2 linked regions of the Callithrix jacchus genome follow. Each later gene encodes a partner of the first gene's protein in a complex. Links are inferred from orthologs where the notes say so. Each region holds a gene or a part of one and is shown in the gene's direction. Other genes may lie near its edges.

Evidence for each region.
Region 2: the proteins of RASA1 (region 1) and ARHGAP35 are in contact, whole or in part, in a crystal structure (PDB 8DGQ), measured with the Homo sapiens proteins. The link is inferred for Callithrix jacchus from reciprocal best matches to the Homo sapiens genes RASA1 and ARHGAP35. Residues at the interface, in NP_002881.1 of Homo sapiens: Arg188, Arg207, Ser209, Arg211, Val217, Asn228, His229, Phe230, Arg231, Ile241, Gly242, Tyr256, Leu262, Leu263, Lys264, Lys358, Ser379, Asp380, Asn381, Ser387, Gln397, Arg398, Phe399, Lys400, Met411, Gly412, Gly413, Arg414, His425, Tyr426; in NP_004482.4 of Homo sapiens: Ser1085, Asp1086, Tyr1087, Ala1088, Glu1089, Pro1090, Met1091, Asp1092, Ala1093, Val1094, Val1095, Arg1098, Glu1100, Asn1103, Ile1104, Tyr1105, Ser1106, Val1107, Pro1108, His1109.

What each region holds. Positions count from the first base shown.
Region 1 is NC_133503.1:123,602,001-123,606,497, reverse strand, and holds the start of RASA1 (ras GTPase-activating protein 1), read left to right. Parts: upstream 1-1,590; 5' UTR 1,591-2,179; coding exon 2,180-2,736; exon of another isoform or gene 2,737-2,823; coding exon of another isoform or gene 2,824-2,861; intron 2,862-4,497. UniProt on the Homo sapiens protein: Inhibitory regulator of the Ras-cyclic AMP pathway. Stimulates the GTPase of normal but not oncogenic Ras p21; this stimulation may be further increased in the presence of NCK1.
Region 2 is NC_133523.1:40,888,994-40,892,803, forward strand, and holds part of ARHGAP35 (rho GTPase-activating protein 35), read left to right. Parts: intron 1-1,481; 5' UTR 1,482-1,669; coding exon 1,670-3,810.

The sequences.
Region 1 (4,497 bases):
CTATTTCATTCTCATTTCTAGAACAGCACAGGGCTTAGCAACTCAAAACCCACATATCTTACCCACCTACCTAATGAATGACATCTATTATTTCTGTTTTTTAGGTATTGTATAACTCCTTCTTGATTAGTATACTATACATTAATATAGTGGTTCTCAAACTTTAGTGTGCAAAAGATCACTTGGAGGGCTTGTTAAAATGGAATTGCTGCAGTTTATGATTTAGCGGGTCTGAGGTGGCATTTCTGAATTCCTAGGATGTTGCTGACCTCAGTTCACTCTGAGAACTCTATTTCCTGTGAGTGGTCCATCTTCCTCCTGCCAGGTGGTACACTGCCTAAGAGATAAGCACAATGGTGGCCCCAGGACTATTCCTTAATCAAGGTAGATTGTTGTCATTGACTAGGTAAATAGGCAAGCTTACAAAGAAGATCCATTGCCTGCATCTTGTCACCTCTTTTAGTGGTCTTTTCTCTTTTTCCTGGGTTTCTATCAAAGCCACTTGCCATCCCTAGTGTTGGTTTAATCATCCTTAGCAGAGAAAACATTGATCTCGAAGATCAATATTAAGTGGTAGTCAATGTGGTTGGGATCACTCGTGGGAGAATTAAAAATAACAATACGGTTAATTTCAAACCATGGGAAGCTCCCTCTATATGAAGCATATAATAGTTTGTATATATTTTAGTATAAAAGACAAAACCCTTCTCCGTAATTGTATTAAATATGAGTTTTCAATTTATTGATACTTTTTGAAACGATATATAATCATAACTGGGACATTTTTGACATTTGACTTGTTGAAGGTGCTTGCACTGTGGATTACGACGAGGACAAAGGTGCATTGATGAGTGTTTTCTGTGGCACCCCCACCCCCCACCCCGGTTCATTAGTATCCAACATACTTGAAACGGCAAAGGTTAAGTATATGAGACAGTTGGTAAAGAAAAGCGTGCGCCTATACATAGAAATCTGACTTCATAACCACCATTTCTACCAAAATTCTCCATCCTTCTCATATGGTGCCTTTTATTTCGTTTTGAGTTTCAGAATCTATTTTATTTGTGCGTGTGTGATAGTCACGGTGATTTATAGCATGAAACTAAAAAGAAAACATAAATAGTACTGCCCTGATCTTCAAAGCTACCTGACCCTTGCCTGGTTTCTGCGCTGCTGGCTAAGGCTGTTTCTTCCTCCGGTAGTTTCTGGGCATTTTCCTTTCCCTTTCCCCCGTTTCCTCTCCACCACCTCCCGGTCCCCTTCTCGTTTCTCAGGCTTTAACAGTGCTGAGCGCCCGCGAGCTCAGGTACCCCTTCCCTCTTCTCCTGCTCATCAAACAAAGCCCCGGGAGACAGGCGCGCGTCGCCAGCCACGCCGACAGATGATGCAGCCGAGCCGACACACGCTTCGAACCGGAGCAGGACATCATGCGCGACCACGCACCGCGCGTCCCCGCCGCTTCCTTCCCTCTGGACTCTTCCTTTTCCTCCAGGTCCGGCCCCCCGCCACCGCTCCGGGAACGCGCCTGCGCACAAGCTGCCCTTCTCCCTCCTCCGCCCTTCCTTCCCTCCGTCCCTCCTCCCCTGCCCCGCCTTCCTTTCTCTCTCTCCGGTTTCACTCACTGAGAGCTCCAGGTAGTGAGCAGTTCAGTAGATTTCCTCATTACCCAGCCCCTCTTTCTCTTGTCCCTCCCCACCATCTGCCTGGTGGAGGATGAAGGGGCTGCAGTGGTCCCAGCGTATACAGCGGCACCGGCGGTGGCTGCGGTGTGGGTGGCCGGAACTGGGGTGGTGAAGAAGCGGTGGTGGTGTCTAAAGGAGCGATAGCCGCCTCAGCCTCTTTCCCTGTGCTTCCTATCTTCTTTAGTGCAGTCAGGAAGTTTTCGCTTCTGTACGTGTGTGTGTGCGTGAGTGTGGGTGTGTGCAGTGAGGTTTGGGTGGCGTTTGTGCAGGCGTTGGGTTTTTTGCCCACTTCGCTTCCCGTAACCCAGGCAGCTCCGGAGCCTGGGCTGTGGCCCTGGGAGGGGGCGCGGCGGCCGGCTCTCTCCTTTTGTTGTTGTTTCCTCCGCCTGGGGAGCTGAAGGGGAGACGCGCCTGGGTGGGGCGGCTCGGAACCCGGGCCTGGTGGCCCCCGGGGCTCCCGGGCGGGCAGTGTAGGGCAGAGTAGAGCGGGCTTCAACATGATGGCGGCCGAGGCCGGCAGTGAGGAAGGCGGCCCGGTAACTGCCGGAGCAGGGGGAGGCGGCGCGGCTGCGGGCTCCAGTGCCTATCCCGCAGTGTGTCGGGTGAGGATACCCGCGGCCCTGCCAGTGGCAGCCGCCCCCTATCCTGGGCTGGTGGAGACCGGAGTGGCTGGGACTCTGGGTGGCGGAGCCGCTTTGGGGTCAGGGTTCCTAGGAACCGGGTCTGTGGCAGGGGCATTGGGGGGAGCCGGACTGACAGGCGGAGGTACTGCTGCTGGCGTGGCTGGTGCTGCTGCTGGCGTGGCCGGTGCTGCTGCTGCTGCTGCTGCTGCTGCTGCTGGACCTAGTGGAGACATGTCTCTCACCAAGCTGCTCACTTCGTTGCCTGCTGAGACTCTCGGACCAGGAGGTGTATTTCCCCCTCTGCCTCCTCCCCCTCACCTGCCCCCTTTGGGGGCGGGTCTGGGGACAGTGGACGAAGGTGACTCTCTGGATGGACCAGAATACGAGGAGGAAGAGGTGGCCATACCGTTGACCGCTCCTCCAACTAACCAGTAAGTTGAGACTGCTCTTCAGTAAGTTGAGACTGCTCTTCAGTAAGTTAAGACTGCTCTTCAGTTAAGTTAAGACTGCTCTTCAGAATGTGTGAAGCTGTCTCCAGGAAAGAGAGAATGAAGGGGTAAATCATCCTTTTTTTTTTAATCTTTTCAGCTGTGATTTGTTAGGAAAAGTTTTTGAAGTTTCAGATTTCTTGAAGTAGGAATTTAATTTGATCACTCATCCTCCTTACAGGCATACTACCTGGTGTCTTCCTACATTTATTGTTCCTCTGGGAAGATGTAAAGTCTTTAAGCTGGAAAGCATGAGAAAATGTGTATCCAGTGAGAACCAGATATGGTTCTGTCCCTTCCAAGTTGAGGTGATGTCCCAGGATTCAGTCAAGCTGCAGCTACCAAGGCAGTCATAGTGTATAACCTGTGTGTGTTCCTTGATAAAGCTAGATGATGAGTGGGAAGCTTTGAATACCAATATTTAAACAAGTACTATATTAATAATTTGAGAAATATATTGGTTAGAATGTTTTTATTTCAGTGCACATCTCAGCTTCAGATTATAGAAAACAGTGATGCAGAAAAGTCTTAGAGTCATTTAATGAGAACTTGGGTCAGAGAGAAAGGAAAGCAGTAGTGTGAATTATAGGTGTGATTAAGAGCCTATACTCCAACAATGTCTGTATCTTCTTCCATAGCTTCCCACTTATTAATGCACTGCTTTTATAGTTGAGACATTAGAAGTACAACAGTGAGGTAAAACAAAATTAATAAATCTTCCCTTAAGCATTTTTGTTGGTGGCCAGAATAGTATTCTATTTGAAAATTAAGTTCTACAGTCTGCAGAATATACAGGACAGTGACTGTTTTTCATGTTAGTTAATACCTCCTCCTCACTTGTTCTCTTAATTGAACTTAGGTGTTTATTTGTAAAGGTGAACCTTGATGAGAATGTTGAGATGGGAAGTGGTATCAGGCAAAACTTGTTTTATAGATTTCGAATGTAACTCTTAATTGACCCTTAGAATTTTAACAACCTTGGTGCATATCAGGACAAAAGATTTGGTTCATATGTTGACAGTCACGCTGGACAATTCAGAGGTTTTGTTTCTTTTTCTTTTCTCTCCTCTGAGACGGAGTCTTGCTCTGTTGCCCAGGCTGGAGTGCGTGGTGCCATCACGGCTCACTGCAACCTCTGCATCCCAGGTTCAAGCGATTCTCCTGCCTCAGCCTCCCGAGTGGCTGGGATTACAGGAACGTGCCCCATGCCTGGAGAATTTTTGTATTTTTAGTAGAGACGAGGTTTTGTCATGTTGGCCATACTGGTCTTGAACACCTGACCTCAAGTGATAAGTTGGAATACCAAGACATAAGTTGGTATTCCAACTTATGTCTGTAATGCAGAGTCTTTGGGAGTGTTCTGAGAGGGTTAAAAATGCCATCTACAGCACTGCTTTTGAAAAAAGTTCAGTTTTTATTAAATGCTCACTGCATGCTCAGTACCGTGGTTATGAAGAACAGAATGTAACTTTTCATACTGAAAGAATCTAGTCTTATGACAGTTTATAACTAAATTAGATATATTTAGGATATTGTAGTTGAAAAAAACTTGTGTTAATAGTTTTTTTTTTTTTTAAGACAGAGTTTTGCTCTTTCATCCAGGCTGGAGTGAAGTGTCAGTGATCTTGGCTCACTGCAACCTCTGCCCCCCAGGTTCAAGTGATTCTCCTGCCTCAGCCTCCTGAGTAGCTAGGATTACAGGTT
Region 2 (3,810 bases), on another chromosome or scaffold:
GTGTTAAAATACACATAACATAAAACTTGCCATTTTAATCATTTTTAACTGTACAGTTCAGGTATTAAGTTCTTTCATAATTTATGCAACTATTTCTGTAACTCTTTCCACCTTGTAAAACTGAAACTCTGTACCCATTAAACAGTAACTTTTCATTCCCACCTTCCCCCCAGCCCCTGACAACCACTGTTCTACTTTCTGTCTCTGTGAGTTTGACTACTCTTAAGTACTGTATGTAAGTGGAATCATACACTATTTGTCTTTTTATGACTGGCTTATTTCGCTTAGCATAATCTTAGCTCAAGATTCAGCCATGTTGTCAGAATTTCCATCCCTTTGAAGGCTAAATAGGCTAGGCGTGACGGCTCTTACTTGTAATCCCACCACTTTGGGAGGCCAAAGCAGGCAGATCACCTGAGCCCAGGTATTTGAGACTAGCCTGGGCAACATGGTGAAACCCCGTCCCTACTAAAAATACAAAAGTTAGTTGGGCATGGTGGCACATACCTATAATCCCAACTACTCATGAGACTGAAGCAGGAGAATTGCGTGAACCTGGGAGGCAGAGGTTACAGTGAGCTAAGATCACACCACTGCACTCCAGCCTAGGTGACAGAGCAGGAATCTGTCTCAAAAAATGAAATAAAATAAAAGTAAAGCATGAATAATATTATATTGCTCGTATATATCATATTTTGCTTATCCATTCATGTGTAGGTGGATACTTTGGGTTGCTTCCATGTTTTGTTGTTGTTTTGACAGAGTCTTACTCTATTGCCCAGGCTTGAGTGCAGTGACGCGATCTCAGCTCACTGCAACCTTCACCTCCCAGGTTCAAGCAATTCCCCTGCCTCAGCCACCCAAGTAGCTGGGAATACAGGTGCTTGTCACCACACCCAGATACTTTTTTATTTTAGTAGAGATGGGGTTTCACCATGTTGGCCAGGCTGATCTCGAACTCCTGACCTCAGGTGAGCCACCGTGCCTGGTCCAGGTTCCTGTTTTTTTTTGTTTTTTTTTTTTTTGCAACGGGTTTATAATTCATTACGATACTTAATTATTTTGCCACTCAAATTGTCCCAGAGATGGCCAGTGGGAGCCCCTTCAGGCTGGCCCCTGTGTCCTTGTGAGATGCCCCATTATTTTTTCTTGCGTAAAAAGATGTTCCAGGTTCATCTTGTTCCTCTCCTACCCTAACCTTGGAATCAGCCCTTTTTCCAGGGAGCCTTCACACCCTTGTTTTAGAACTTAGCACAAAAAAGAACTGCTTACTTATGTCTTCTTCCATTGGACTAGATTGTACCTCTCTGAGGACACATTGATATAAGTCTTATTTGCTCTCACCCAGCACAAGGCCTGACACATGAGATGTTTACTAAATACTTGTTGAATAAAAAGTTGATTTTTTACTGTAGTTCGTTGATTAAAATTTGGTTCTAAAATTATGATGCTGATGGGTTGTCTTTTTTTTCGTCCTCTAGGAAGAAATGTTGGCTATTTGGCGATGAGAAGTGGCGAACAGTGACCATACTGGTATCTGACACTATAGGAGCTGGCATTTTTGCTGCATGTCCAGCCCACCCCCTCTAATAATGTAGGAAGCCGTCTGGTCCCTTGGAAACACTAATCTGATCTCGGAAGTGGCCGATCGTGGCAGGATGTGTCGACGATGATGATGGCAAGAAAGCAAGATGTCCGAATTCCCACCTACAACATCAGTGTGGTGGGATTGTCTGGGACCGAGAAGGAGAAGGGCCAGTGTGGGATTGGAAAGTCTTGTTTGTGCAACCGCTTTGTGCGCCCAAGTGCTGACGAGTTTCACTTGGACCATACCTCCGTCCTCAGCACCAGTGACTTTGGAGGGCGAGTGGTCAATAATGACCACTTCCTCTATTGGGGAGAAGTTAGCCGCTCCCTGGAGGACTGTGTGGAATGTAAGATGCACATTGTGGAGCAGACTGAATTTATTGATGATCAGACTTTTCAACCTCATCGAAGCACGGCCCTGCAGCCCTATATTAAGAGAGCTGCTGCAACCAAGCTCGCATCAGCTGAAAAACTCATGTACTTTTGCACTGACCAGCTGGGGCTGGAGCAGGACTTTGAGCAGAAGCAAATGCCAGATGGAAAGCTGCTGGTTGATGGTTTTCTTCTTGGTATCGACGTTAGCAGGGGCATGAATAGGAACTTTGATGACCAGCTCAAGTTTGTCTCCAATCTCTACAATCAGCTTGCAAAAACGAAAAAGCCCATAGTGGTGGTCCTGACGAAGTGTGACGAAGGTGTTGAGCGGTACATTAGAGATGCACATACTTTCGCCTTAAGCAAAAAGAACCTCCAGGTTGTGGAGACCTCAGCGAGGTCCAATGTAAACGTAGACTTGGCTTTCAGCACCTTAGTGCAACTCATTGATAAAAGTCGGGGAAAGACAAAAATCATTCCTTATTTTGAAGCTCTCAAGCAGCAGAGTCAGCAGATAGCTACAGCAAAAGACAAGTATGAGTGGCTGGTGAGTCGCATTGTGAAAAACCACAATGAGAACTGGTTGAGTGTCAACCGAAAGATGCAGGCCTCCCCAGAATACCAGGACTATGTCTACCTGGAAGGGACTCAGAAAGCCAAGAAGCTGTTTCTCCAGCACATCCACCGCCTCAAGCACGAGCATATCGAGCGTAGGAGAAAGCTGTACCTGGCAGCCCTGCCATTAGCTTTTGAAGCTCTTATACCTAATCTAGATGAAATAGACCACCTAAGCTGCATAAAAGCCAAAAAGCTCTTAGAAACCAAGCCAGAATTCTTGAAGTGGTTTGTTGTGCTTGAAGAGACACCATGGGATGCCACCAGCCACATCGACAACATGGAAAACGAACGGATTCCCTTTGATTTAATGGATACCGTCCCTGCAGAGCAGCTGTACGAGGCCCACTTAGAGAAGTTGAGGAACGAGAGGAAAAGAGTTGAGATGCGAAGGGCATTTAAAGAAAACCTGGAGACCTCTCTTTTCATAACTCCCGGAAAACCTTGGGAAGAGGCCCGTAGTTTTATCATGAATGAAGATTTCTACCAGTGGCTGGAAGAATCTGTATACATGGATATTTATGGCAAACACCAAAAGAAAATTATAGATAAAGCAAAGGAAGACTTTCAGGAGTTGCTTCTGGAATATTCCGAATTGTTTTATGAGCTGGAACTGGATGCTAAGCCCAGCAAGGAGAAGATGGGTGTCATTCAGGACGTTCTGGGAGAGGAACAGCGATTTAAAGCATTACAGAAACTCCAAGCAGAGCGTGATGCCCTGATTCTGAAGCACATTCATTTTGTGTACCACCCAACAAAGGAGACGTGCCCCAGCTGCCCAGCTTGTGTGGACGCTAAGATTGAGCACTTGATTGGTTCTCGGTTTATCCGACCGTCTGACCGGAACCAGAAAAATTCACTCTCTGACCCCAACATTGATAGAATCAACTTGGTTATATTGGGCAAAGATGGCCTTGCCCGAGAGTTGGCCAACGAGATTCGAGCTCTTTGTACAAATGATGACAAGTATGTGATAGATGGTAAAATGTATGAGCTTTCCCTGAGGCCAATAGAGGGGAATGTCAGGCTTCCTGTGAACTCTTTCCAGACGCCAACATTTCAGCCCCACGGCTGTCTCTGCCTTTACAATTCCAAGGAATCACTATCCTATGTAGTGGAAAGTATAGAGAAAAGTAGAGAGTCCACGCTTGGCCGGAGGGACAATCATTTAGTCCATCTCCCCCTGACATTAATTTTGGTTAACAAGAGAGGAGACACCAGTGGAGAGACTCT